Caenorhabditis elegans: one gene and its partners. The protein of the gene in region 3 binds, or shares a complex with, the protein of the main gene of each other region. Each region holds a gene or a part of one and is shown on either strand. Other genes may lie near its edges. The genes, in order: lin-35, lin-9, dpl-1 and lin-54.

Region 1 (4,747 bases), on a different chromosome or scaffold from region 3:
GATAGTTAATGGAAGAAAGTCAAGTCCAGGAATCACATAGCGGCAGGTTGAGATTTTTCGAAAATATCTATCAAGAGCCCGGACGACAATTGAACAGTCTTTTGCATCACTTGATGATAGAAAAACTTTTGAAACCAAAGCATGCAGAGAATTCATTTCCGTCTGTAAAAAAACTTTAATTTAATCCAAATCGTTTTTAAATTAACAAACCTTCAAAACCGTAATAAGATCTTCTCGTTTATCCTCAAATAATCGATCATGAGTTGTTGCAATCAGAGTGAGATTTGGAATAAAACTCTCAGAAGCTTTATCAACGAGATCCAAAACATCCGAATGATTTGCTGATAATTCTTTCAAATCTACTCTTAAAGATTGTTCTGAACACGTGAGCAACACTTTCTGAACTTCATCTTCATCTCTTCCAATTGTTAATAATAAATCTACAGCTTCTGATACTAATTCTGCACCAGAAGCCGGATTTCGCAGTTGATCCATTAATTGATTTTCCGTCATATCATAAATTTTCTTACTTTTTTGAAGAACTAATTGAACTGTTGGAACGTCTTTATACTGCGATAGTGACTCTTCTGCTAATTTGAACATTCGAAGAACTTCTCCATAGTTTCGCTCATCGAATTCACTCTGGAAGTTGTTTAGTTTGATGCAATATGAAAAAAAAGTTTTAAAATTAAAAATGTTACCCGCAGAACATGAGGAAGATCGAAAATATGCTTCAAACTATTCACAACTTTATACGAGCTTCCCAATTGTAGAATATCGTCACGTTTTTCGCCCAAAACTCCGTCAAGATTCCCAATTAGAGTCGATATTGTCGACATACTTCGGCTGAGAGATTTCATTTCCTGAAAATTAACATTAAAATTGTCTGATTTTATTATTATTCGAAAACTAACAGAATCGAGTTGCGTGAATTCATCTTGTATTTTTCGAACCGTATTTGTCGCAGTCAGAAATTTATTGTAATTTTCGTAGACTATTTGATGTACATCTGAATCAAGCCTTCTCACAGCTGAAACCATCTCCTCCTCTTCTTTTACTAATCCATCAAGCGACTTTTCACGGAGTAATCTGAATTAATAATATTTATCAGTGCATATCTCTGAAAACTAACTTGACGACAAATGCTTCGACATCAAAATCCGGCTTTGTGACGTCCAAAACACTAGACATTTTACATTCAATACTGAAAAATTAAAGAAAATTCAGGAAAACTCGAGAATGAAAAAAAACAGATTTGAGACACCATCAATACAAAGGGAACGAAATTTGGGGGAAATGCTGGTTGCCGAAAAAATAAGTAGAAGGTAAGATGTGTTCAACTGGAACATACATTTTCTGAATTGCAAACTCGATTTCTCTCACATTCACAATTTTTAATCACATTTAATGCTTCAGTTTTAGAAAGTTCTGAAGTATCCTCTTCTTCCTATTCAGTTTCTCAAAATCGATGGTGTCTCCAGGACGTGCACAAATGCGCTCTATTGCGAATTGTGGAACATCATTGCGCGCGCGACTAGAAAAAAATGAGCGCGTTCTTGAAAATTATTTTGCTTTCTCTAATTTTAAACGATTTCGATTACATTTTATCTGAACTTTCTTGGGTTTAATCGAATAAAAAACACAAAAATATTCTTCAGACTGGTAAAAACTTCTTCAATATGCCGAAACGAGCAGCCGATGAGCCTGGAACATCAACAACTGACCCATTTCACGAGCGTAAGCTTTAAATGATTTTATTCAAAGCGTATAATTATACTTGTCTGGAAAGTGAGGCGTTATCAAAGCTAGTTTCTCCGCCGCAGTGAATAGAAAAACTGATTAATGCAATTTGCGCAGGGTTCGATTTTTTCGAAATTTTTTAAACAGCGTTCAAGATTTTACTTGCCTTTCCATCAGGGAGAGAAATTTTTTAGAACTCAGCCTCAAATTACCGCAAATAAATTTAGATATTAATTGATTTATTTTCAGAAAGCCCATTCGATGCCGTGTTAGCCGGCACGGAGACAACGGATACAATATGTGAAGAGCCACCAGCAAAACGAATCGACTTAGATATAAAGCAAGGTATGGGGTTTTATAAATATTAAATCTGATTATTTTCTCCTTTTCAAAAATATTAAACAAAAACAAGGGTTTGCAGCCTCATGTGATAATCTAAATGACTGCTTTGTTTTACATATTAAGAGCATCCTTCGTTTTTCCAATAATTTTCTCTATGAAGATAGATATTCCCCAGTTCATTATCACCTTTATCACAACTCGCTATCATCTCCTACTTATATAGGAAATTATGAAGTTATCAAGCGCTCAGTCACCTGACTAGTTAAGAGGTCACTAACAACAATAGCTACCAATCAAGCAACATTTTTATTATTGCACACAACCACGAGCAAATGTCAAAATATACATAGAAGACAGAGTGAAATCTATTGAAGAACGTCACTTCGGACTGTTATATGTCCTGGTTCAACCACGTCACTATATGCAGGCGGCCGAGAAGTTGCACGTGGTCGGGTTGGATCTTCATCATTTGTAAACGCCGAATTGTCAGCTCCTGTTGGTTCACTCTGAAATTGTTACAGAGTTTTAGTGATGTCATAGGGAAAGAATTTTAGAGCTCATTCTGGCTCGAATTTGCTGGAAATCGGAGGTTTCCCAATAATAACCATTTTTCTGATATTAGTATTACTTTTTCGACTACAAGCGCTCCGTAACAAAATTTAGCGGGTTATTTGAAGTTAATTATAATCGCATTAAGACGTATTTATCTAATGCAGCTTATAATATAGAAAGAATAGCTTAGTTTTATATTATTGATTAATGAATAGTCGTTGAAACGGATTTCATAAAGCTTCAAAAAATTTTCAAAACTCACATTGGCAACTGTCAAAATCGGTGTCGATACGAAAGAACCACTCCTCGTTGATGCCGACGTCGTCGAACTCTCGCTATCAACAGGTTGTTGTTTTGTAGGAATCGGAGGAGCAGTTTGACTTGACATTGGTGGGGCGTAGGCGGTATATCTTGGTGGTGGTGGCATACCACTGGGACTCATTGGTGTTGGTACAATGTATTGAACATTGTAATTTGACGCCTGATGTTGAGGTCTGAACCATTGAATGAATATTCATAATTGAAATAATGGACTCACAATCTGTATGCATTTCTTCTGAGGAAGTTGTAGAGAATCATCATATATCGCATTTGGACGAGTGCAACAATAATACTAACAGTTAGGAAGAAACATGAGATTATAACCATTTCTAATTCTCCAGTTGTCATTTTTGGAACACATCCCTTCGCAGTGGTTACATCCTTTTGGTTATCTTCAAATCAGTTTCTTTATTCCGGAAAATTGTATTGAAACTAACCTGGATTGCAAATGTTATCATTGTTATCCGATAAATAAATACATGCAATAACTGCTCCCAGGATCAAGAAAAACACCCAAAATGTGTACATTGACTGAAATTGATAATTATTTCTCAAAGTGTATATTAACGAGAATATTGATGCTTCCATAATTGACTAGGAACATCGAATCTTGTGAGTTATATTTAAAACGTACTAGATATAACATGTAAGCAGTGATATAGGCAATTTTTCTACGCTTTGCACCAGTTGATAGAACAAACATCATGGCGCTTCCAATAGAAATCTCGAAAACGTAGAGCACAAATGGAGATGGATACAAAAGTCCGAATATTTGACATATCATGAGAATGGATCCGAGAATTCCAACAGCTCCCTGAAAAATGTTCAATCCTTGCTGAGATTCAAAATTTCTGAACTTACACCAATTGGAAGTCCACAAAATACCCTTGGCTCCGGTTCAGCAGCTATCCGCTGTGTTGGCTGATGTGGTTCAGCCCGTTGTTGCGGGTGCTGATACGGATCCGTCGTTTGAGAAGACTCGGTTGTCATGGTTCTTCTGGAATCAATACAATTTTCTTGGCTTATATGGTTTATAAATGCATTTGTGTGTGTCTGAGTGTGCCAACAAGAGACCTCTACGAGAGAAAAGAAAAGGAGAAGCAGAGTCGGGGAGGTGACATACGACTGATATGGTCGATGTCACGACAATATGATTCTCTTTTTCTCCCCCTTTCAATTCTTCATGTGTCGGTTGAGTAAATATTGCATGAAACTGTAGAAATGAGGGCATTGGGAGATAGAGAGAGGGACGTTGAAAATAGAGAAGAGCACTAGAATCAGCTGAGAGTATGTGGAGAAATAAAGAATGATAAGAACGTTGGAAGAAACTAGAACAATTTTGGCAGCTTAGTTTCGTCGTTACTTGATTTGTCACAATTAAATATGGATAAGTTGAGAATCAAGGATGCCAAAAAATATTTTTGACAAAAAAAAACAAAAAATTTCTTGTTCAAATTTCGTACCAAAAACAAAAAAAAATTGGATTTTATTTTTCTCGCGATTTAAAGTTAAAAATTTCGAAATTTTTTTTTGGTTTTTATGATATTTATACAATTGTATTTCTATAGAAATACCGAAAAAAAATTGGTGACTTATCGAATTTGTTTTAATTGGAAAAATATAATGGATTCAATTCGTTCTTTAAAAATTATTGGAAATTACTTTAAAATTGAAAAAATTGAAATTTTTTTCATTAATTTAAAAACTGACATCCTTGGGTCAATTCATTGCCATCTGGATAAATTTCCTTTAATATTGTAAATCATTGAGTGTTTCCAGTTGTGTAGGTCTC
Region 2 (5,990 bases), on a different chromosome or scaffold from region 3:
TATAAGAATGATATCAATGTACTTGAAACATTCAAAAATTTCATAAAAGATTAACAGAAATTTTTTAAATTTTAACTATTTTTTCAAATTTTTTAAACAGTTTTAAATGTATTTTTGTCGGTTTTCAGTGAAATTTTTGTTAAAAAATAAGAAAATTAAGAAAAAAAGCTAAAAATGACTTTTAAAAAAATTGAAATTCGTTTTTTGGCGCAAAAAGTTAAAGGGACATGAGATTTCGTAGGGAGCGGGTCTCGCCACGATTCCTCCTATTTTTATTTTTACTTTCAAACGAAACAACGAAGCTCCGAAATAACGCATTCGTGATAAATTTAATAAAGAAATTAGCAGCAAAACAGCAAAAAATGCGAATGGAATTCAAATACGAAGCAAGGCGCGCAACACACTATAAAAATTGATCAAAATTACGCAGCAAAGACAGTTTAAAACTACAGTAATCTTTGAAGGCGCACATCCGTTTGTATTTAACAGACATTTGTCGTGACCAGTTACCGTACTTTTAGCGCTCACTTTTGTGTCCGGGCTAATATCTTCTCACCGCTGGCAAACATAATAAAATGAAAATTCACCTGAAACTTTAAAATTTTATTTATTTTCTAGACAGTCAGTAAAATAAAAAATAGTGGAGTATAACTGACAAGGGTTTCGTTATTTGGCTCGTTTTTCTCGAAAACTGATGATGATGATGATGACAATGAGGAAGAAAATAGAATTTTGGCACATTCGAATTATCAAGGTTGAACTACTTTTAAAAAATAAGAAAAATGGGGATGTGTCTCATGATCGGGTACAATTTTGAAAAGACACAAAGTGATTGAAGAAGGTGGGGAGAGAGAGAGAGCAGAGATGAGAGAACTGAGAATATTCAGAAAAACAAAAACTGACGGGACCGGTTGGCGTTTTTTTGGACAAAATGAGACGCTTTTAGTTATTTTCTGTTCGATACAGTTCCAGCTAGTGCTCCACTTTCGAGCATAATTGTGTGAAATTGTTTCATATGAACTTCAACGTAGTCTTGGAAGAATGCCACGTTGCGGGGGTGAATAGCGGTCCGAATTTCAGATATGGCGTCACCAAGTGATTGAAGATCAACTGCAGAGATCTTTTGAGTTCCCATTGTGCGAACCTGGAAAAATATAATATTTTTTCTAATATTTTTCTGCAGTAAAAAAATTTTTTAATAGTGTTTTACCGATGACCAGGTAATTTTGAATTCTAGGAAACAATTTTAGTTTTTTTTTTGTAAAATAGTAATTTGTAATTAATTCTAATGGGACGATGCAAGTGAACACGTGTATTCAGCTCGACCAACGCCTCGAAAATTTTCAAAAAAGGCGGGAAAAAATATTTGAATTCGCCAAGAGGAATTTCACCGCAGCGCGTGACGGTGTTTGCACAAATTACACCGAATGGTCGAGCTGAAAACACGTGGTGAATTTCTCGTAATTTCTCGACACATTTTTTGCAATGCAAGTGCGCGGAGAAATGACGAGAAATGTCGTGAAATTTGCAATTTCTCCGCATTTCTCGACATATGATGAACGGTGAGATACGCAGAAACATGTGTCCCCGCAGGAAACTCCGCCTACTCACCGCACTTTTAACAGGGTGAAATGTCTTACCACCCTGCGAGGACACATCTCATATGTCGAGAAACGCGTAGAAATTGCGAATTTCACGACATTTCTCGTCATTTCTCCGCACACTTGCATTGCAAAAAATGTGTCGAGAAATGACGAGAAATTCACTTGCATCGTCCCATAATGAAATTAGGAAAGAGGATTTGGTAAAAACCGAAGTTTATTTTCTAATGAATTTTTACATTTTCAATTTTTTTTTTCATTAATAAATTATTATTCTGCAGTCTATAGTGCCACAAACCTGTAAAAGGACAGCTGTCAATGATTGAATAAGTGTCAACGCATGCACATTCTCTACATTTAATCCTTGATTACAGTGCTCTACAAATCTTCCAGCTTGTTGAGAGCACATTTGTCTAACTGCTTCAGGTTTCATATTTGACGTTGAAATCTGCAAACAAATAGATCTTTCGAAGAATCAGGAAATGAAAAATTACATCATTCGAAGAGAAATACATATGGTGATCTTGAATTCCATTCATATTGATATCTATATTCTGATTCACATGTTCCAGATCGATGATAGTTTTGGCGTATTTCTCCTGAAAAAAAATTGTTTTTTAGATTCTATCTAGTTGACTTTTTCATATATCAAAAAAAATTTCTAATTAAAAATGTACCTGAAAAGCTTTCGAATATTTGTCTGACGTCATATTTTGTATCTCGGCATCCGCATTCAATTCGTTCAATTGTCGTATCAATCCCTTTTTGATATCAATTAATTTCGTCAGTTTCACAAGATTCACAAGGAATTTCAGCGGGAAATTTCCAACCATTTCTGCATTTTTTCCATTTAATCGTTCGTCGTTCGGTCCCATTAATGGTCCACCACTTCTCTCGATTTTTCGAGAAACCAGGACGTCACGAACAAGATGTGGATGTGATGAGTCACGAACTGCTGCTACAAATGGACGAACGCCTGATGGAAGCTTAGAGTTGGCTTGTTCAATGAAGTAGGCGATACTCAACAAATCAAGTTTTCCGTCGAGAAGTATTTCCGTGTCACTAACCAGTGTTGGTGGGATATCTGGCTGAAAGAATAAAACATTGGAATTTATAGAATTTCAAATATTCAAATTTCCCTAAAACAAAATAATTTATGATCCAAAACTACCGAATATAGTAATAGGACGTCTTAATTTCCAAAGACTTCCTATTTTCAGCTAAATCATTAAATTTTGTCAATTTCTCCTAACACTTTTTATTGCATATTTTGGTAGTAATTCGATGATTTGAGCACATTTTAAGTCGATAAGAATCCTACTTTGATATTTTTGGTGTCTATCGACTTAAAGTGATCCTAAATCATAGAATTAAAGCGAAATAAACCACTAAAATATGCAATAACTGTTGAAAATGCAATAAGAATTGCATTCCAGCATGTACAAAATGGACAAGTTGGCGAAGTTCACGAATTTAGCTGAAAATAGGTTTGTGGCGAAATTTTAAGACATCTCGTTACAAAATTCGGGCGTTTTGGGTGATATTGAGTCTCCTTTTACAAACCTTGTCAAAAATAATTCTGAATCCTTTCGGAATGACAGCATCAATAATTCCAGAATAAATTCCATCGTAGGGATTTCGAATTCTCGCAAATACACGATTTCCAACCACCATTGGACGTGGAAGCTTGGCTGGAAGATCTTTTAGATCAATCGATGGATCCTGAAAGAACATTTATTGAAAATGATACACCTCTTCAGCCTTACGTTAAGATAACTTCCTTCATAGACACTTCGAATCTTCATTCTTTTCTCTTCCAGGTACATTCTTTCTTCTTCAAAAAACACTTTCGAGCATCTACGTGGCTTTCCGAGAAGTTTTCGAATCGACCGCCACTCAATACGCGTTAAATTCCAATTTTTCAGATTTGGGAAAGATTCGCGGATAATTGTGGCAAACTCGTTTTCTTCTTTGAAAATTTGTTCGTCGATTGCAGAATAGAAGAACTCGCACATGACCCATTGACGAGCTTTCTTATATCGGAGCAAATTGTAGAGTTTCTTTATATTAGCTCTCATAAATGTGCTCACATCTTCACTTGTTTGATTTTTATACGTTTTGAATTGTTTCATCATGGCACTTCGTTCTTGATCTGTACTGAACATGTTGAAGAATGACTGTGTATCTCGATGTTCTACAGCTTCATTTGTCATATTCGCAGGATTATCTAAATCATCAAGACCTGCTACAAGGTTTTGATGCATCTCAATCATCTCCAGATCCTTTGCGAGAAGATCATTACTTGGTGCTGGAGGCGGAGACAGAGCAAGAGCTCTGCGTGGAGGGCGTCGTTCTTCTTTTGGCTGGAACTTGGAGACATGACAACAATACAATTGTTTTAAAACTTACAATATATTCCAAAGCACAACTGGAAGATTCATAATCAAGAGCTGCCTTTGCGAGCATTGTTAGACTTGAGTTTCGGGTCAATGAGTTCACTGAAGGAGAATCTCTACCTCCATTCAGGCGTTTCGCGGGAGATCTGTAAAATCATAAGATTAGTCGGCCACTTTTTCGGAACAGCTTGTTACTTTTTGGGAGATCCGGTACGTTTGATACTGCGAGACGGTGATAGGTATAGTTCTTCATTACGATATCTCGATGGAACTTTAGATGTTTCACGGAGACTGTATGGTGAGCTGGTGCGATCCTGAAAATACCGAATGTCATGCATACTTTCAATATCTTTCTTTAATTTACAACTTCTTTATTTTTAAAAACACGAAAACCCAATAAAATCAATATTTCCAATAACTTACAGGATCAGACGTGTCACTTGCTGCCTTTTTCCGCGGACTTCTCACCGCAGACGACATTTTTATCTGAAAAATAACAAATTTTTGAATAATTTCAGACCACGAGACAAAAATCAATGAAAGAATGCGGACGCGCGCGCGCGAAAAAAACTTTGAAATGGCGGTTCTTTTCCCCAACCAACAGCCGATTTCAAACAGCGTGATGGTCTCGACGCGATTGCCCTGCGGCAGTGTAGCGAGGTACGGTGGAGCGCTGTCTGTTGGAAAACAGAACACAGCTGAGAGAAGTGAATGTGGTGGGAAACGGAAAAAAGGGAGAGCTGCTGTTTGACAGTCGAACGTCGTGACATTCCGTTTTTGGATTTTCTCGTGAAAGTTTTTTTTTTTTTTTTATTTGTTTTATTTCTTATTTGTATTGATTTTCCATCTTTCCTGGGTTATCATTAAATTTTAAACATGGTTTTACACAAGATCATGCGGTGAAACATGTTTTTTTCTTCCTTTCCGCATTTAAAACGAATTATTTTGTTTATATTGTTCTTCTCTTTCCATTCTCATGATTCATTTCTCTCCTTATTGGCAAGAAACATTATAAAATTGTTCATTCCTACTAAGTGTTTACCAAAATTTATTTTGGCCGCAAAGTTTTAAAATTGTAGAATAAACTTTTCATTAAAAATATTTCGTCTTCAATCACTCATCTTTGTTCCGAAAACATCTCACAGGTTTTTTCTTCAAAGCAATATTCTTCTTTAGTGTTTTTAGTCAGCGTTTTTCGTTCTGGATCTGGATTCTATGGTTTGATGTTACTTTGAAACACTATTTATAAAATCTTTTTGCAAAGAAACAATTCTCTTAAATTTAATACAATTTCCGCATCAAAATTGAAGTTTTTGTGCAAAGTTGACCTCTCGCAGCGTAATCTTATCGTTTTTTCGCGTTATCACCACTCAATCTCCCCCACTGCTCTACAATTATTTCATTTCTCTCAACCTTTTGATCGAATCGATTGAATTTCATAATATCCACGAAATGTGAGTCGCCCAATGTTTACGTTTCTCCATCCTATAACACTGCTTACAAATGGTTTCAGTGTTCAAACATTGCGGTGAATGAGGCAGACAATCAGACATTTTCTTTCTTTTAAAACCTGTCCTGTTCATTTCTTCCTCATCTCCTTTAGGTTTTCTTATTCGCCATCTGAAAGTTTATTTCTCTGCGTCTAGCTATTAGATCCTGGAGAATTACGCTCTAATGTCGATGACGTGTCGGCTGATCGATTAGATTGCGCAAATTGTTTCTTTAGTTTTTTCTAGATTTCTCTCCCTTTTTTCATGATATTCCAATGGAGCACGTTTGAGCGCATGCTCTCTTCTTGCTCAGTGCTGCTCCGTATCGATCCCTCTCCGTCAATATCTGGTCTTCGGTCCTGAGGCCTTCGCTCCTAGCCTCGTGCTTTTCTTAAATGTTTTCTCTCGAAAGAAGCGTTTTTGATTTTTTTTTCCTTCTTATTTTTGAAATCTTCATATTATTTCATGGAAATTCTTACAGAATCAACTAGAATGGGTGATTA
Region 3 (5,154 bases):
ATTCTTATGTTTTCATCCCGTACAACACAGCCGATAATCCAGTCGCTTCCACGTACTTTTGAAATGGTCATTCTCTAAATTTTCTCCTTCTCCCGATAGAAATCGGATGTAAGGAGATGAGTTTGGGCGATAAACTGAGAGAGAACATTGACAATTCTATGCTAAACAGGAAAAGCGATCAGAAAAAAGATCTCGAGTGAGTATGTCTTCGCAGTTTCAATTTCAGATGAGTTTCGAGCGATTTCTCGTTTTTGGCTCGGTTATCTCCTGGATTCTGCTCACGTATTGCTCAAGATTTTGGGTGAGTTGATTTACATAAGCCCAGTTTTTTCTATAAGATATCATATTCCAGATTGAATCAGTGGAAGGATATTTAGTTGGTAACCGCCGTCGAGTCATTGCCGTGTTCCGCATTGAAGTGAGTTGCTTCTTCTAATTAAAAAATCTAATTAATTTAATCCAATTAAAGTGCATTTTAACTCTGTTAAATGTGTTTGCATACGGCCAGCTGATGAGATGGTTCGACGATGACATTGTCAAGGAGAAATCGTTGGATCGCCGAAAAATGCAGGTAAAACTAAAAATTATAATCTATCATTCTTTCATAAAAAATGATGGTAAAATCGGGAGCATTGAGTTACATATAATGCTGTCAAAGTCGGGGCATATAAGAAGCATATTTCAAAATGTCAAATTGAACACAAAATAATAATGTAAAAGGTAGATTATGAAATCTGTCGTCAATTCTAATCTGGCAAATGTCGGAATAGAATCGACGAAGAAGACTATACTATTTTAAAGATTAAAGAAGAGGGGATTTTAAAGGAGTCTAGAAATAAAATTGAAACTCGTATAGAAACTATTTTAAAAGCAGATGAGAATCGTTTGAGAACCTTTAAAAACTGGGAAAAGGGGGATAACAACTAGTTACATTAAACATTTACTGGAAATAATCGTATTCCTCCGGTTGAGGGTGTTGAATGAGAGCAGCGGCCTGCGCAGAAGTCATCGGCTGTTCCGTTTTGCGTTCAAATGTGCACATATCTGAAATTAAATTATTTAAATTATTTAAGGCAAATTTAAATTACCTTGCTCCATCATTTTCTTTTGTATAACTTGTTGAGCTGGAGATTGCTTTGGATTGTTGACAACAATTTTACGAATCACTTTCCGAACAATTGTGCCCGGCGGGTGTGGACCACCTGGAGCAACAATTCGCTGAGTTACGATTCGTTGTCCAGGTTGTAACTGATGTCCAGAAATGCTTCCAGCAGGATAGACAACTCTCTGTTGCACTTGATGTGGCTGACCCATATGACTCATTTGTGGTTGCTGTGGACGAACTCTCTGAAAAATAAGAAAAATCAGTTTGTGAAATCTTTAAAACGAACTTACATATCTCTGACCAACTGGCTGATGCATCGGTTGATGTCCTTGTGGCACGTAGTATTTTACAGGTCCTGAATTCACAGAAGTAGCTCCAGTTGAGAGCCTGCGATCTGGAGGTACAGTAGAGTACGGCCGATTGACAGTTCGAACGACGGGAGTCATATCATGCTGAAAATGTTTTAGTTGTACTGAAAAATCTTCATTTTGAACAAACCTTCATTGGTCCTTGTGTCTTCTGTACGTAATATCGTTTGGTAACGGGTGGTACTTGAAGAGGCGTGTTAACTTGAGCTCGAATCTTTTGTGGACTATAAGTATTATACATTGGCCCTCGGCTGGCTGATCCCTGATTAACATTCTTATCCATATCATAATCGCGTTCCATTATACCGGCAGCAGCTAGAAAAAACAATTTTTTTAATGTTTTTAAAAAACTTTTTTACCACTTCTGTCCTCACTTCCATCGTTTATCAAATGCTCCTGAAGCTGTCTGTTGAATCGCGATGAATATGACATTTGCGCCAAAGAGCTTGTCGGCTCAACGTATTGGGCTTGTGAGAGGTTCATAGACATTTGATCAGCAATCAACTGTTGTTGTTTTCTCTTTTCCTCTTTTTCTGCTTCAACCTTTTTACGGTCTGAAAATTGTGGTTTCCATGATTGATTTTTAAAAAGAAATACTTACTGGCAATGATTTCGTCGACATAGTGCTGGTGTAAGGTTGGCAAAAAGCTTTTCGCAGTTTTGACTTCTTCCGCTGTGGGATTTGTAGTCTCCAAACTGCATGCAAGGTTCAACTCTGAAAAATGTGGATCTTATCGGTTTTTGGCATTTAAATTTACTTTTTAAAATTTCGAAATCATCGTGAATTTCAAACTTCTTGTCGAACGAGAACAGAAATTCGGATTTGTCTGATGATACACTGCATTCCACATTTGCTCTTAAAAATAGATATTTGAGACTATTATAATTTTGGAATTTCAACTTACTCTTTATCAGTATTAATTATTAAAAACGGAAGATGAAGTACAGTGTCGTTTTCTGGGCGACCATTTTTGCTGAAAATTTAACTTTTCTAAAATATTTAACACTCAAACGTACTGCTCATTTTTTCTATTCCGTTCGACCAAATTTTTGTAAGAAACAATTTGCAATACCATTTCTTCGAGAGCCTGCTTTTTGGAACTTATGCTGGCTTCCCGTCGCGATTTCTCTTCTTCCAATCTCGAAATTTCTTGTGAAGCTGAAGCAGGAAGTCCAATCCATCTGATATCTTTCTTGCTTTTTGTGATGATATTCATTGCCAAAAGAACGTTCAACGCATCGTATACTCTCCTCCGAATATTTTTCATATCGTATTCTTGTTTCTAGAAAAAAAAAGTTTTTTTTCAAAAGAAGAAAAACAAACTTCTTACCACAACATCAATCTGCTTGATAAGATTATTTTGAAAGTAATCTGCTACCAGTTCATCAGCCACTTCATTGTAATTCGTCAATCCTTTTTCTTTCACCTTTTCACAAACTTTCGTGGAAAAATGTCTGAGTCCGGTTGGTTTGTCAGATTGTTGACCTCCTGCTCCACTAGATCCTCCAACTCCCGAAGGTTCATCCCAGCCCACAGGTTCATTGTGACTCTCATCTTGGTATGAACGAGGAAGACCTGTAGGCATTTGAACAATTCGTCTTCCCATACTCAGGGATACTTGTGGTCGACTTTGTGCCGGTTGGCCGATACGGGGATCGTAGTTTGTCTGCAAATGTTAGTTTAATATAATATCGATTTCTTATTTTACAAACCGGGTTCATTTCTACAGGACCTGCCTGGACGAATCAAGATTTTCGATTGCTTAGATCTGTAAATGATGACTTTGATTACGAGAAAAGCTACGAAAAGTGTTAATTATAAGAATAATGAATGATATTTTGTTGCCATCGTAAAAAACTGATTCTTTTCTGTTCTAAATCTAAATTTTATCGGTTTTTAAGAACGCTGCAATACAAACGTTAACCAGAACAATTTTTGATCAATACGTGAGAGAAATCAATAATATTCGGAAGATGGAGGAAAACAGAAAAAACCCAAATTTGAAGACGCGCCGTGCGTTGCGAGACCCATCAATGACGATAAACAACGCGAGAGGTGTCAAGGCGGAGTGTTGTTGCTGAACAAAATTTTCTTTTTTTTTCGTTCGACACTGAAATTTCAACAAATTGCAATATTCTTGTTGGAAAAAGTTAGCAAAACAAGAATTTGCTTTTAAATAAAAATTTATTTTGTTTTCCTGCTACGATTTCAAAGACCATAACTATTTTTCTCTTCAAATCGATTAAATCTTCTTCTCACCAAAAACTGACCTATTCTCATTTCAGACAATCCGGAAACGATGCTCGGATGGCCTTATTATTTTCCTAGTTCTCGGACAAGCGATTTATTTTATGTATTATGCCCCAGCATTTCTCCAGGTTTGTTTTTAGAAATTGTGTTGCTGTTAAAAGAGTCTCTTGCATTTCAGTGGCTTCTCTTCGATCTCACCTCAATCTGCGCGGGAATATGGACTAACATGATTGCATTCGTATGTGGATTTGGGATTGTTAATTTCTATGCTGGAAAAATGAAGGTAATATTAATTTCAATAATATTTAAATTATTTTAAAAAAATTTTCTCAGATGTTCCATTACACCGCTTCGATTTTGGAAATAATAGGAAAGGTTCCTTATTTTAACGATCTCATGTGGAAAAGAAGATCTCAAATAAAGTAACAAAAAACATCTCATTTCGGAACTTATCATTAAAAATGTTATTTTCAGATTCACAATGATAATCACCTTGCTTCTGTCAGTCAGTATGTTTATATCACGCGATTGGATTGTTGTCAAAGAAAAGACCATCAAAATAAAAAACTTCACTGCTGATGGAAATCGATTAAAATTGGCAGTGATCTCTGATTTGCACGCTGGTGCAAGTGTTTATTCGGAACAAATCAATCAAGTTGTCGAAAAAGTGCTTGAAAATCCAGTTGATGCTATTCTGATTGTTGGAGATATGGTAGATGCTCCTGTTGCGGAAATCGAGGATAGAGTTCGACCAATTCTGTAGGCGAATTAGTTTGATTCACAAAATTTCAATTTTTGTTTTCAGTCAACTCCCTGCTCACGCACCTACTTATTTCGTAACTGGCAATCATGAATATTATTATGGAGACGTTCAGGAATGGATAAGATTCTACAAAAATGGCCGTATTAATGTTCTTGAAAACGAGTAAGTTTTACAAAGTTTTTGAGTTTTTCTTGGAAGTAACAGTGATATTTTTCAGAAGTACAATGCTGAAAGGAGTCTGTTTGGCTGGAGTAAACGATATTTCAAGTCCGAAATCTGGAATCTTGAACACTAAAATGGATCTACCAAAAGCCATCCATCGATGTCCATCAAATACTTCTCAAATCGTCATGGCACACAATCCGGCATCAATTCGAGAATTCATCGTAGATCATCCGAAAGAATTATCAGAAATTGATATTGTCTTATCTGGACACACTCATGCAGGACAATTCTACGTAGTTATTCCAGTAGTTTATTGGCTTCTACCATACTTTTATGGACTCTATGAGATTCCATTTGGAGGTCAATTGATGGTAATGGCAGGATCATTGTATCAAGGACCACCCATGAAAATGATTGGAATGAGCGAAGTTTGGGTGTTGGAATTACTGGGAGAATAATGTGTTGTAAAATGTAAAATTCTCATTAAAACGGTTCGATGACT
Region 4 (4,619 bases), on a different chromosome or scaffold from region 3:
CCAGCTGATACATTGCCGACGAGCACATTATGCAGGGCTCCAGGGAAACGTAGAGCGTGGATTTTTTGAGCAGATCCTCGCAGCCCGTTCCGTGCTCTTTCCACATTTCAGTGACTGCTACCATCTCAGCATGCCTTGTCGGATCACCGGTCTCGTTCACACGATTCCGACCTCTTCCAATTTCTGTTCCATTGACCACAAATACACATCCAACTGGAACTTCATCTTCATCTAAAGCTTCTTGAGCCAATTCGAAGGCTTTTTCCAGAAATGCAGTGTCCTCGGCGCTCAGCTCGTTTTCTGACATTTCTAATAAATTTTCTAGGTTTTAAAGGTGTACTAATTCGCATTTTAATTATTTTTTGCACAATAAAAATTAATTTTAATTTTAATCGCAGACCAGCGATGCATATTGTGCGCCGAAACACTCCTGAATAGCTTTGTTTAAAATAGGAGCGTGTTTCGGCGCACAATACGCAATTAAAATTTAATTTAAACTTCTGAATCAAAAAATCAAACATTTCTCGAAATAATTACTTTGCTGGGAACAAATGTGCAACTATGCTGCCAAATAATAAAAAAAAGACACAAAACTTCATAAATATAACACAATAATTTCTAAAATTGAAGAGACGCAGGTGAGTTAGTAAAAATGAAACAAATTTTTCTGATCATTTTTTATTTGACAACTTTGAAAGAAGGCAACTTGTGAATCTGTAAAAGCATTGAGAGGAGGGGAGGAAGGCAAAGAATGTGTGAGAGGTGAGATCATAAAAGATCGCGCAACTGTGATAAAATTGATAATAATTTTAATGCGAATAGTTAAGAAGTACTAGTAGATGGTCCTGGGATGTCATCCGTTGGAGCGGCATCAAGATCTTGTGTGAGCTCAGTTGTGTTTGTGATCATTTGTTCGAGACAGCGGCCGAATTCACGAAGGACAAGCTTCTCCATATTGATGAGTTTTTCGTCTTCGGTTTGCACTTTTTCGTAGTTTAACTGCAAAGAAAAAAAATTAAATTCAATAGGAAACCAATTGATTTTCCAACTAACAGCTTCTTCAGCTTGAGCAACCATGCACATAGTGGCTGCCTCAACGACTTCATCGGTCATATAGTACCACGGGAAGCGTCTAGGATCCATCTCGACCTTCGGTTTATGCGAAAGAAGCATATCCTCGTAGTCGTCTCCATGCTCATCGGTCACCACACTTCCCGGACCAGAATCTGGAGTCGCTGTGCTGGAAGCGTTGGTCAATGACATCAGGGCATTCGTATTGGACACGGCACCACCGGAGTTCTGAAATTAAAATTTGAATAAGAAATTAAATTTATTGCAAGAATTGCGGTATTTTGAACGTATAGAGATCCAAAATATGATTTTTTTAAATTTGAAAAAGGTGAAATTTGAGCTAAAATATTCAATTTTGGCCACTTTTCCGCGTCGAAGCGGTCGGAAATTGACATTTTTAAAATTATCATCTTTTATTGCATATTTTGGTATTTTATCTAACGTTTTTTTAAAAATTTCATCAATTAAAGTACATTTAAGGCCGAGAGGTGACCAAAAATGATCGAAATTGGTTACCGATCAGCTTTAAATGTACCTTAATCAATGAAATAACGTCAGATAAAATACCAAAATATTCAATAAAAGATGATAATTCAAAAAAAGTCAGCTTCCGACCGCTGGGACACGGAAAAGTGATCAAAATTAGCCTTTTTCGGAATTTTGAACTGCCAAACAAAACTTGTTAATTTGAGCACATTTGTTAGCCTATACGTTCGAAAAATCCAGAATCGTTACTCCATTTTTTAAACTGAATTATAGGAAATTGCACCTTGTATCTTGTCATTCTGTATGTTTCAGTATTCTGACATCCTTTGCACTTGCATCGATCGGTACACGGAACCTTTGCTTCATAACACTCACAATAGTTTTTCAGACAACCACTCTTTTTACAGTGACATCCTTTCTGATGAAGACGTTCGATGTCGGTAATACCTCCACGAGCAATACCAATTTTTGGCTTGAAAGCGTTCGGATTTCGCTCAAGTGACTGACGGATGGCTTTTGAACGCTGACTGTCGTATTCTATATTATTGTGACAATCCTTGCAATTGCAGTCACGACAGAACTCTCCATTGGCGAAACAATCACAGTAGAGCTTGAGGCATTGAGATTTCGTGCAATTGCATGGTTTCCGCTGGCCAGGTGCAAATACTTTTCTTGAAAAATAGAGGAATTAGTGAAAAGTTACAAAATTTGAGTTCTTTACTTTTTAGTTTTCAATCTAATATGACTAACGTGATCTTTCATATCGATGTAAACTTTTCGCTGTTCAGAATTTCCCATCTCCAAGCCCATTGGTTGCACTGTTCTAGCTTAAATAAAATAATTATTAGGACAAAAGATCTCTAGTTTACGAACGTAATGAAGCGGGCTGTCGATCGTACATTGAAGGTGAACCCGATAAATTGGACAAATTCCGCACAGTGTACTGAGACGATCCGGGAGTGCTGGGCCCAGGCTGAAAAAGCTTCCAAAGAGGTTAGTCAATTCGTAAAAAATCGAAAATTTTTAAAATTACTTTTCGCTGAACTGGTCTCGGAGGGGGGACGTAGACGCGATGCGATGATGTATCAATTGGTTCGTCTTTGACCAATCCCTGATTAACTTCCATTGATCGATTATGCTGTTGAATCATACTCGAGGTTCCCGGACGATTTTGCTGCGCCTGTAAGTTCTGAGAAAAGTTTATTTTTATTTCGAATTGAAAACAAATTACTGGATTATGAGGCACAAGCTGTCCATTAACTTCGATAAATTCGGCACCTTCTTCATAATTATCGTATATCTCCGATTCGTCGTAATAATCATCGTCGTCTTGATAAACGATTTCTCCTTGATTCATTGTCAACACTGAAAATACTGAAAAATAACTAATCAGGAAAACAATGTTTTAGCATTTGGAAAGAGATTAAACGAAAAGAAATTAAGTTATCTTGCCAGAAAATTCCCAACAAAAAAAAAAGAACATCGTTTTGAGGATGAAATACAACTTATTTACGTTCCTTTTTGAACCAAAATTTCATTTTTCGCCGTCTAAATACTTTCAAAAATGTTAAATTAGTAACTTATTTCTTGAAAATCAATAATTCAATAAGATTTAATATTAATAAATTTAAAAAACACCCAAAAAAAGGATTAAAAAATTGTTTCGCGCGCCGAAATTTGATTAAACAAAAATAATGCAAGTGCGCTCCACAGTTAATGTTGTTTGAAAATTGACATCGACAATTCGCTGCGTAGCGACGCAACAACCATTGTGATACGGAGTCAATTCGCCGGCGCCAAGTCCTCGCGACGAATTTTTTCTCACTTTTGTCACCGCCGGTATCCCTGGTAGACGTCACTCATCATGCCACCAAAGTTCGACCCAACTGAGATTAAGATCGGTAAGTTGCTCATTTTTGTGCACATTTAATTAGGTATTTGACGTATTATGCGTGATTTTCAATTTGTCAAAGATTTCATCATCGTGATTTTTGAAAAACTCTTTTGCATCATTTTCACTTTTCAGTGTACCTCCGTTGCGTCGGAGGAGAAGTCGGAGCCACCTCCGCTCTTGCCCCAAAGGTCGGACCACTTGGATTGTCTCCAAAGAAGATCGGAGAAGACATCGCCAAGGCCACCCAAGACTGGAAGGGTCTTAAGGTCACCTGCAAATTGACCATCCAGAACCGTGTTGCCAAGATCGACGTTGTCCCATCTGCTGCTTCCCTCATCGTCAAGGAGCTCAAGGAGCCACCACGTGACCGCAAGAAGGTCAAGAACGGTACGCATTTAATGCGTTGGGTCGGGAGTCGATATGCTCTCATCCCCTGGTCTCTTACTTCATAAGTTTGTAAAAGTTTGTGACTTAAAGACTAGTAACCTAAGTGATTTTCATGCTCCGTGAGTTTGATTTTTCCTGGGTTTGGTGTTGTCTCGTCCCAACGGGTTGTTTAATCAATCTAGTTTAACGTTTTGCACGTTTCCATTTCAGTGAAGCACAATGGAGACCTCACTGTTGACACCATCATCAAGATCGCCAGAATCATGAGACCAAGATCGATGGCCAAGAAACTTGAAGGAACCGTCAAGGAGATCCTTGGTAATATTTCGAAAACGATAAACTGTTTCTAAATATTGTATTTTTTCAGGAACAGCCCAATCCGTTGGATGCACAATTGATGGACAACACCCACACGACATCATCGAGTCGATCGCCAATGGAGAGATCGAGATCCCAGCTCAATGATCTGTCACTTGTTTTTGTTGTTCCAATAAATTCTTGTTACTATCTGCGTGTATTTTGATAAATATCTCAATAAATCATGCAAGACGTCTAATTTAGAATTTGTATCGAAAGACACTGGTGTTGGGATTCATTTGTTATCTATTTCTGGTAAAAGAACTCGTGCTTCGTCGCTTTTCGAAATCGATTTTTGCGTGGAGAGAAACTGCGCTCTGATGAATTTTTTCTTCAGTTTATTTTATTTTAAAATATTTTCGCTTCATTCAGAAATGGCCTCGTGTGAATCAATGTGCCCAGTCGCTGAAATAAATTTTCGAAG

The links.
Region 1: dpl-1 (region 3) and lin-35 share a complex: the UniProt entries of both Caenorhabditis elegans proteins name them as parts of the DRM complex.
Region 2: dpl-1 (region 3) and lin-9 share a complex: the UniProt entries of both Caenorhabditis elegans proteins name them as parts of the DRM complex.
Region 4: dpl-1 (region 3) and lin-54 share a complex: the UniProt entries of both Caenorhabditis elegans proteins name them as parts of the DRM complex.

The regions. Positions count from the first base shown.
Region 1 is NC_003279.8:5,806,051-5,810,797, forward strand, and holds the start of lin-35 (Retinoblastoma-like protein homolog lin-35), read left to right. Parts: upstream 1-1,658; 5' UTR 1,659-1,679; coding exon 1,680-1,737; intron 1,738-1,989; coding exon 1,990-2,085; intron 2,086-2,370; exon of another isoform or gene 2,371-2,447; coding exon of another isoform or gene 2,448-2,588; intron 2,589-2,896; coding exon of another isoform or gene 2,897-3,128; intron 3,129-3,172; coding exon of another isoform or gene 3,173-3,347; intron 3,348-3,392; coding exon of another isoform or gene 3,393-3,486; intron 3,487-3,589; coding exon of another isoform or gene 3,590-3,769; intron 3,770-3,816; coding exon of another isoform or gene 3,817-3,945; exon of another isoform or gene 3,946-3,952; intron 3,953-4,747. Other genes in the region: vps-51 (Vacuolar protein sorting-associated protein 51 homolog), read right to left, coding at 1-162, 211-642, 702-863, 915-1,089, 1,133-1,191; C32F10.4 (uncharacterized protein), read right to left, coding at 2,448-2,588, 2,897-3,128, 3,173-3,347, 3,393-3,486, 3,590-3,769, 3,817-3,945. UniProt on the Caenorhabditis elegans protein: Key regulator of cell division which acts as a transcriptional repressor and negatively regulates cell cycle progression in its active unphosphorylated form, but allows cell cycle progression when phosphorylated.
Region 2 is NC_003281.10:8,899,649-8,905,638, forward strand, and holds lin-9 (Protein lin-9), read right to left. Parts: upstream 4,484-5,990; 5' UTR 4,478-4,483; coding exon 4,421-4,477; intron 4,312-4,420; coding exon 4,193-4,311; intron 4,144-4,192; coding exon 4,011-4,143; intron 3,971-4,010; coding exon 3,368-3,970; intron 3,324-3,367; coding exon 3,165-3,323; intron 2,690-3,164; coding exon 2,279-2,689; intron 2,201-2,278; coding exon 2,096-2,200; intron 2,050-2,095; coding exon 1,900-2,049; intron 1,145-1,899; coding exon 947-1,144; 3' UTR 590-946; downstream 1-589. Other genes in the region: unc-32 (V-type proton ATPase 116 kDa subunit a 1), read left to right, coding at 5,980-5,990. UniProt on the Caenorhabditis elegans protein: Synthetic multivulva class B (synMuvB) protein. SynMuvB proteins are required to repress the induction of vulval development by Ras signaling and probably act by forming the multiprotein DRM complex that represses transcription.
Region 3 is NC_003280.10:9,167,998-9,173,151, reverse strand, and holds dpl-1 (Transcription factor dpl-1), read right to left. Parts: upstream 3,243-5,154; 5' UTR 3,196-3,242; coding exon 3,187-3,195; intron 3,141-3,186; coding exon 2,805-3,140; intron 2,757-2,804; coding exon 2,491-2,756; intron 2,448-2,490; coding exon 2,379-2,447; intron 2,330-2,378; coding exon 2,232-2,329; intron 2,189-2,231; coding exon 2,075-2,188; intron 2,028-2,074; coding exon 1,833-2,027; intron 1,789-1,832; coding exon 1,604-1,788; intron 1,558-1,603; coding exon 1,396-1,557; intron 1,348-1,395; coding exon 1,089-1,347; intron 1,045-1,088; coding exon 941-1,044; 3' UTR 587-940; downstream 1-586. Other genes in the region: T23G7.2 (Calcineurin-like phosphoesterase domain-containing protein), read left to right, coding at 227-301, 353-418, 470-571, 3,760-3,852, 3,903-4,007, 4,058-4,146, 4,199-4,483, 4,530-4,649 and 1 more. UniProt on the Caenorhabditis elegans protein: Synthetic multivulva class B (synMuvB) protein. SynMuvB proteins are required to repress the induction of vulval development by Ras signaling and probably act by forming the multiprotein DRM complex that represses transcription.
Region 4 is NC_003282.8:13,239,363-13,243,981, reverse strand, and holds lin-54 (Protein lin-54), read right to left. Parts: upstream 2,932-4,619; 5' UTR 2,915-2,931; coding exon 2,789-2,914; intron 2,747-2,788; coding exon 2,591-2,746; intron 2,540-2,590; coding exon 2,431-2,539; intron 2,385-2,430; coding exon 2,279-2,384; intron 2,229-2,278; coding exon 1,841-2,228; intron 1,300-1,840; coding exon 1,054-1,299; intron 1,000-1,053; coding exon 823-999; 3' UTR 581-822; downstream 1-580. Other genes in the region: JC8.4 (CMP/dCMP-type deaminase domain-containing protein), read right to left, coding at 1-307; rpl-12 (Large ribosomal subunit protein uL11), read left to right, coding at 3,422-3,458, 3,584-3,838, 4,049-4,156, 4,206-4,303; tag-115 (SAC3/GANP/THP3 conserved domain-containing protein), read left to right, coding at 4,570-4,619. UniProt on the Caenorhabditis elegans protein: Synthetic multivulva class B (synMuvB) protein. SynMuvB proteins are required to repress the induction of vulval development by Ras signaling and probably act by forming the multiprotein DRM complex that repress transcription.